Mus musculus: one gene and its partner. The protein of the gene in region 1 interacts with the protein of each later gene in a biochemical or structural test. Links are inferred from orthologs where the notes say so. Each region holds a gene or a part of one and is shown in the gene's direction. Other genes may lie near its edges.

Evidence for each region.
Region 2: the proteins of Gab1 (region 1) and Grap2 form a complex in vitro, tested with the Homo sapiens proteins (2 studies listed by BioGRID and IntAct, with this or other methods). The link is inferred for Mus musculus from reciprocal best matches to the Homo sapiens genes GAB1 and GRAP2.

What each region holds. Positions count from the first base shown.
Region 1 is NC_000074.6:80,877,647-80,881,751, reverse strand, and holds the start of Gab1 (GRB2-associated-binding protein 1), read left to right. Parts: upstream 1-1,272; 5' UTR 1,273-2,148; coding exon 2,149-2,220; intron 2,221-4,105. UniProt on the Homo sapiens protein: Adapter protein that plays a role in intracellular signaling cascades triggered by activated receptor-type kinases. Plays a role in FGFR1 signaling. Probably involved in signaling by the epidermal growth factor receptor (EGFR) and the insulin receptor (INSR).
Region 2 is NC_000081.6:80,645,585-80,649,156, forward strand, and holds part of Grap2 (GRB2-related adaptor protein 2), read left to right. Parts: intron 1-488; exon of another isoform or gene 489-552; coding exon 553-768; intron 769-2,273; coding exon 2,274-2,390; intron 2,391-2,838; coding exon 2,839-3,018; 3' UTR 3,019-3,572. UniProt on the Homo sapiens protein: Interacts with SLP-76 to regulate NF-AT activation. Binds to tyrosine-phosphorylated shc.

The sequences.
Region 1 (4,105 bases):
TATGCAAGGGCTTTTGTCTTATTATTAACTTAGCATCTACTTTTCTTTTCTTTCTTTAATTTCTTCACTCCTGCCTCCATGTCTCTCTCTAGTCTTTCTTTCCCTCCCCCTCCCCTACCTACCTTGGCAGGCCTGGGATTACAGGGGTTCTGCCAGGCAGGGCTCCCAGCACCTTTTCCTCTTTACGACCCCCAAGGTTTCAGACTCAGAACACACATTTATTAGGAGAGCCCCAAACTCATGCTTCTCAGAAATGCTTGTTTATCTATTTGTATTTTCACACAAACTCCCTTTTTGAGACAGGGCCTCTTTATGTAGTCCTGGTCGCCTTAGAACTCACTTTGTGGACAAAACTGGCCTTAAACTCACAGAAATCTGCCTGCCTCGGCCTCCCAAGCGCTGGAATTAAAGACATGCATCACCATGCCCAACTCTTTAAAATTTTTGTCTGATTATATTGCCTTCTAAAATTTGTTCCAAGGCTTTGTTTCAAACACACCCGTAAAGAAGAGTCTGTTACAAGACTGTGTCAAACTCAGCCCAGATATAATAACTGTAAAACACACAAAAAGGCAAATAGAATTAGGGTACCCAGAATGATTTCTTTTCCTGTCCAACATCCTAGCGCAGGTTTTAAACAAACACAACGCCAACTGGAAGAAACAGCCCATGAGTGGAAGCAGTGTGAGACTTTATCCTGTCTTAGAGATACACGCAGCTGAACGCTTTGTGGAGGCTAAGCGGTAGCATCACTCGGTAGAACAGCTCCTGGGTCAGGCCCTAGGCACCCAGGAGGTCCCCCACCCCCTTGGTCTCTGGGTGCACAGTGAGGGTCCTAGCGCGCTCCTGGTCCGGGAGACGCAGTCCTTCAGTCTCTCGAGCAGCCAGGACCCGCTTGAGTGAGTTCTCCTCCTGGCTGGGTTATTTTTTCAGACTGTCAAGTAGGGAAATCCTTCCGAAAACTCTGGATCGCGAAGGCACAGCCGAGTACAAACTCCTGACCCTGGGGGTTGTCAAGATGGCAAACTCAGTCGGAGCTGGCGAGAGTGCCCGGCACTCCCGCTCTCACACTGGGGTGGCGCTGCGTTCCCGGAGACCGCCGCCTTCCATAGCGCGCGGGCCCGGGGCGGCGGGGCGGCGAGGACCCCAGCGCGCCTGCTGACTACAGATCCCAGGGTGCCTCTGCCATCTCGCTCCCTCCCAGCGCCGGCCCCGCCTCCCCAGCCCTTGTTGTTTTGGCTGGAAGCGCTCCGGAGGAGTTTCAGAGAAAGTCTGGGCTGAAGCTAGAGGCGACCGATCGTGGGAAGGGGAGGCAGAAAGGCTAGGAGGAGGAGGGCCGGGGCCCAGGCCGCGCCTCCCCGAACCCGCCGCGCGCCCCCGGGGTGGGGGAGGAGCGCAGGGGACAGGACAGAGGGGTCCCTCCCCGAAGCAGAGCCGCCCTGCGCCTCGTCCCTGTGCTGATCCCCGCCCTCATCCGAGGCTGGAGCGCAGACCCACCCTCCCACCGCGGACCCGCGACCTCCCCGACGCCCGGCGACGCCCTGACCCTCGCTGCTGGTCCGCGAACTCCCTAGGCTGATCAGGACCTGCCCCTGTGCCGGCTGCCACCCGGACGCCGCACGCCTTCCCAGGCGCCCTTTTCCGAGCAGAGGGAAAGAGAAGATCGAGCCCCTCTCAGTGTGAATGCGCCAACGGGCGGAGCGGAGCGGAGCGGACACCGCGCGCGGGCATTGTGTGTGCGCGTGCAGCGTGGGGTCCGCAGCGGGGAGCACCCGCGGGAGGTCCCGTTTCCAAGGGGCGGAGCGCAGGGCTTCCAGTTCTGGGCTCCCTGTCCGGACAGAGTCCCAGCGGAGCCCGACCGCTGCCTAGGCGGCGGGACGGCGCGCCTGGCGGCCAGGAGGGCGCACTGAAAGAAGGTCGGCGAGCCCTGGTCCCCGCGGTTCCCGATCGAGTTCCTCTTCAGTCCGCGAATCTGCGGGAGAGGTTCGATCGCCGACACAGGGCGCGGGGAGCCGGGCCGCCCCGTCGGGGGAATCTGAGACGTCCTCTGGGCTGCGTTTGACTGCCGTGCCCGCCGTGCACGGAGCGCGTCCACTGTGTCCACCGACCCCTTTGGTGTCTGGTCCTCGAGTCCTCACGGCGTGCACCATGAGCGGCGGCGAAGTGGTTTGCTCGGGATGGCTCCGCAAGTCGCCCCCGGAGAAGAAGTTGAAGCGTTATGTAAGTACAGGTCAGGTCACCGTCTGCCCCGCTGCAGCAGCCTGCGCGCCCGGTTGGCTCTTCCACGAATCCCGCCCTCCTTTTCCTCGATCCGTCTCTCGGCCGGCGGGCTCCGGACCGGGTGCGGTCCACTCCCACCCTGACGTCCACTCGGCGGCCAAACTTTCTCCCTCCATATTGCAGACTGCCTCCCTTGTAGGCCTCGTTGCCTGTTAGAGAAGCCCAGTTTTCCAGCTCAAAACTGGCTGCATACTTTGGTTGTTGTTATTTCCATTTAGCAAGGGTGGAGTGAAACAGGGAGAAAGAGCCTTCTTTTATTATCTGTATCAGATTCTCATGGAGCTGTTAAATCTCCCCTCCCCGAGAAACCGCGGAGGTAGTAAGTACTCATGGGTTCTCGATTGGGTCCGCGCCCGCTCTCCTTTGCGCCTCCAGGAGGTGGAGGGAAGTGAACTGTGGACGCAAGAAGTGGATAATATAGGCAAACTTCTCAAAATATTCGCTCAAGGGAAAGGGGAAAAAAGTTCTTATGAACCCTGCCGTCTGCTTAGCATTTTCATGGTTTTGCTTTGAGGACACTGGATTTTGGCCTGAGAACCCTGGCGGTTTGATTCGGCAGGAGGGCGCTGGGGGGAGCCTGGTGGCTGGTGTTTGGGCGCCTTAGAAGCGCTGTCAAGCCCCGCAGGAGGGGACAGCTGAAGCCAACAGGGATTTCTTGATGCTGGCGTTTCTTTTCCCGGGCACCAGAACGGCTTAACTGGTATTTGCGTAATTGATTCAAGATGCTGATTGTGAGATGACTGTGTTCACGGTTAGGAAAACTGTATCTTGAAGGAGCCTATAATACTTGAGTGGAACTATATCCTCATCGGGAATCTAGGGTCCTAAGTCTTCCTTCAGATTGGCTAATTTTGCGATGTACCCTGTCAGTAAAGAAATGACACTTTGTACCGGCATTTGAAACAAGTATTTTTAGGGTGAAATGTGTTTCCCAAAAGCAAAACGTGTACCCACTTAATTAGAGTTTACTACCTGTTTTGATGAAACCTGTTTCTGGTGGAGGGGCGTCTACACCAAGAATCATCGGACTACTCGCTTGCTTGTGTGAAACCAGGCAATATTTATTTTCACGGAGCTCACCAGCGAGTTTCGGGCTCACCTTCTGGTATAATTTAATACAGCCAAGTAATTTCATTGAAAGATGTGATTTGACAAATTGTCAGAGGTTCCCCAAAGATGTCTCTCCATCTGTCACAGTTTGCTTGGATTTCTTGGTAAAGATGGCAACTTGATTCCAGAAATTTGAGAGTGGCAGTGACATCTTCAGAATTAGTTCTAAAGAGACGATTGTGGTGAGGCGATGAGGGGTGAGGAGATAGAGGTAAGGCACTATTTAGGAAAGACGGTTTTAGGATTCTTGAGGAAACTAAAGTACAATATATTTGCTGATCATGCAGTCCGGTGCATTCTTTCATTACTTATGGCCTGCCAGACATACTGAGTTCTGTACTAGGCACCAGCCACAAGGTAAGGAGAAAAGCCTTGCAGGGAAGGAAAATGACAACTAATAAGGGACAGATATGGTGGTATTATATGCCCAATACCACCCAGCACTCCAGAGGCAGAAATGGGAGGCTCCGTGGACAAACTGGTCTCCATAGCAGATTCCAGGCTAGCCAGGACCGTGTCTCAAAAATAGAAAACACAAGCACAAAAACCAAATACAGCTGATTATTTATAAAGATATTAATAATAATATGATTATGTTTACTTATATGTATCATTATATGACCACAGCAATGTTCTCCCACAAAAGTCCCAATCATGCCAAACCTGTTAGCTTCTGAATCAGGGAAGAGTGATTGAATTCAGGGGGGTCTGCGAA
Region 2 (3,572 bases), on another chromosome or scaffold:
GCCGTAAAGGACAGCTCCGGATGATGCCAAGTCAAGAGTAGAGATATCTGGAGGGTAGGATGTCCAGCAGTTTGGCAACAGGTGACGACATGTGGATTATTTGTCACGCATGATCTTGGCTGACCTTTGCTTTCTCTTCTGAACGACTGTGTGCCCTGGATGGGGAACCCTCTCCTCCCATAATTGTAACATGCCAGTCTCGAAAACAGCTGATGGCCTGGGAGACAGGGTTTACTTCCCCAAAGCACACGTGTCCTTTTCAAACCACCTATCCCTGTCTGTCACATAGAATAGTTAAGCCTGATTACAGACAGAAACAAACCAGTAGGAATGGATTGAGCAGAGACCGCATGGAAACGGATAGATTGTCAACCAGAGACCTGAACTCCTGAGCTAGGAAAGACTTGAGTATTCGCAGGCCACTTTTGATAACGTGGAGGTCTAAACCTTCGATTTTCTTTAAGCCCTACCACCACCACCACACAGTTACTGCCAGAAGAGAGACAGGATCTAGGGAAAGGATGAATCTGGATCTCTTGTTTTCTCTTCCAGGGTCACCGGGGCAACAGCCTGGACAGGAGGTCCCAGGGCGGCCCTCACCCGAGTGGAACCGTAGGAGAAGAAATCCGACCTTCAGTGAACCGGAAGCTGTCAGACCACCTTCCTCTGGGTCCCCAGCAGTTCCACCCGCACCAGCAGCCGTCACCCCAGTTCACACCAGGGCCGCAGCCCCCTCAACAGCAGCGTTATCTGCAGCATTTCCACCAGGTATTTGAGGAGACGGAAGGGACAAGGACAAAGAGCGAAGGCTGAAATAGTGAACTCCAAGGTGGTGAAGAGACGCTGTCTCAAGACATAAGGCAAATGGAGAGAGAGAAAGATACTGACTTCCGGTGCCCAACTCCCCACCACACCACACCACACACACACACACACACACACACACACACACACACACACACACACACACACACACGAAGACTAATTCTCCTGTCATCAGACTTTCAATCCCTGCCCCTTAACCTGTAAAAAGAAAACCGGATTAACACCTACCGCTGCCCTGATTGTTTATCTACCCCTGCCTGCTCCAGAAGGGAATTGCTAGAGGCTTACAGAGAGGGACAATACAATAAGACAACATTGGTCTACATCCCTCCACGGGGCACACAGTCCTTTGTGAGCTGCCTGTATCTACTTTCCCAGGCCCATATCCTGCTACCAGCCCCCACTACCGTGCAAACACGCAACCCAGCAAACGGCACCACACTGGCGTGGCTCAGAGCATTTTCTCTCTTTCTGGCTTTTTATAAACTGTTCTGTCTGCCTGATGAGTCTGTCCTGGCCCAAACCGCTTCTCCTTCAAACTGAAGCCCAGGCACCACCTCTTCCAGGATGCCCTCCATGATCTACCCAGGCACACCTGGGCTTTCCCATTTGCTCATTTAGCACATCACTGTATATGGTCCTTCCTCTAAACCAGCAAATGTTCCTGATTTTTTTTTTATTTGTAAATAGGAAAAGAACCACACAAGCTAGGTATGACAATGCATGCCTATAATCCCAACATTTAGGAGCCTGAGGCAGGAGGATTAAGAGCCCAACTCTATCCTGGGCTACACAGTGAGTGCAAGGTCAGCCTGAGCTATACAGTGGGACCCTGTCTTAAGATTAAAAGGGAAAAAAATAGGGCTAGAGAGATGGCTTAACGGATAAAGTGTTTGCTAGGCAGATAAGAGGGCCGGAAATCAGGTTCACAGCACCCACGTACAAACTAGCATCAGGAACACATCCTTAACCTCACTGCTGAGGCAGATCCCAGGAGCTCATTGGCCAATCAGTCTAGCTGAATCAGTGAGTTCCAGGTTCAGAAACATCCGTTCAAGTGGATAGAAGAGTGACAGAGGATACCCCATATCACCTTCAGGACTCTACACTAACACATGAATATACACATACACAGATGGTGATGATGATGATGGTGGTGGTGGTGGTGGTGGTGGGTTGGTTGCAATCCTGAGGCTCGGGGTACACAAGACTCCCCAAATTACTGTGATTTCATTGAATAAATGGAGGCCATCATCTTTGACTTCAGAATCTAAGATCCCTTCAGATTCCCTCCTGTGTGTTTTCCAAGATGAAGGGTGATGATGGCCAGCAAGTCTTCTTGGGTGTTATCTCAGTAGACAGCACCCCCAAGCAAGGCACAGGGTTGGGGCAGTCTGTGAGAGTCACCACTACTGATCCTGCAGCGGCCCTCTCCTTCATGTCTCTAGGACCGTCGTGGGGGCAGCCTGGACATAAACGATGGACACTGCGGCCTTGGAAGTGAGGTGAACGCCACGCTGATGCACCGGAGACACACCGACCCCGTACAACTCCAGGCAGCAGGGGTGAGTGAGCAGAGAGGGCGAGGAGGTCTCACCAGAGAGGGCTCAGCCTGGCTCATCCAGGCTGCTATTTTCAGACTATTGGGCTTTCACGCTCTTCTCCATCTCCTGGCAGCAGGGGATGCGTGAGGTTTATCCTTGCGATCCAGTACACGTGGCCTTGGGACCTACCCAGTGGTAGGGCACTTACATAACATATATGAGGTCCTAGCTTCCATCCCCTGTACCACAGTAGCAGAACAAGACCATATCAAGAGCAAAGGTAGTACGGCCCAGTAGCTTGGTGCCCAGGGCTGTGCATATCAGGTCTGCTTTAGATTGCTGCAAAGTCAGCCTTTGGGAAGGGCTCGGAGGACTCAGAATAGATCTAGAAGCTCACGGCTCCTCTGTGTGATAGTCGTACCAAAGACCAGCCTACCGAGCTCATTCCCATCTCTTGTCTCTCCTACAGCGGGTGCGTTGGGCCAGGGCACTGTATGACTTTGAGGCTCTGGAAGAGGACGAGCTGGGATTCCGAAGCGGAGAAGTGGTTGAAGTCCTGGACAGCTCCAACCCATCTTGGTGGACCGGCCGTCTGCACAACAAACTGGGTCTCTTCCCTGCCAACTATGTGGCCCCCATGATGCGATGAGTCGTACTGCAAGGCTTAGGGGCTTTTCGTCCAAAGCCGCCTGCAAGACAGAGAGGGGCGAGGGGGTAAAGCTGAACTTTATAATGACACATACATGCATACATGTGCATGTGTGCCCGAGTACACAAAACATGTATATGTATGCCGATGGCTACACACGACATTTTATAATAGTAATTTATTGGCAGGCAGGTTGGCTCGTTGATCAGCATGAGAAGGAACTTGGGTGGCGAGGGGGCCGTTTTGCCAGCTCTTCTCTGCCTGAGAGGGCAGTGGGGAGCTGGGAGCAGGGCGGGGAAATGACCTTTTCCAACCCTCAAACTTTCACCGTTTCCTTCCTGGCTTGGGAATTTTCCAAGAGAGCAGGCAGCTCAGCAGAGATCACACCCCAGGGATGGATGAACAGGGCAAGGCTGGGCTTGGCGAGGCACGTTAGGTAGTTCACCTGGCTCTGTCCACTTACAGGGTAGCTCCCCTCTTTTGCATAGAGCAGGCGCTGCGCCCTGAGAATTAAGGTGTAGCAGATGCAGGGCTTCAGGCACCAGGCAAGTCTG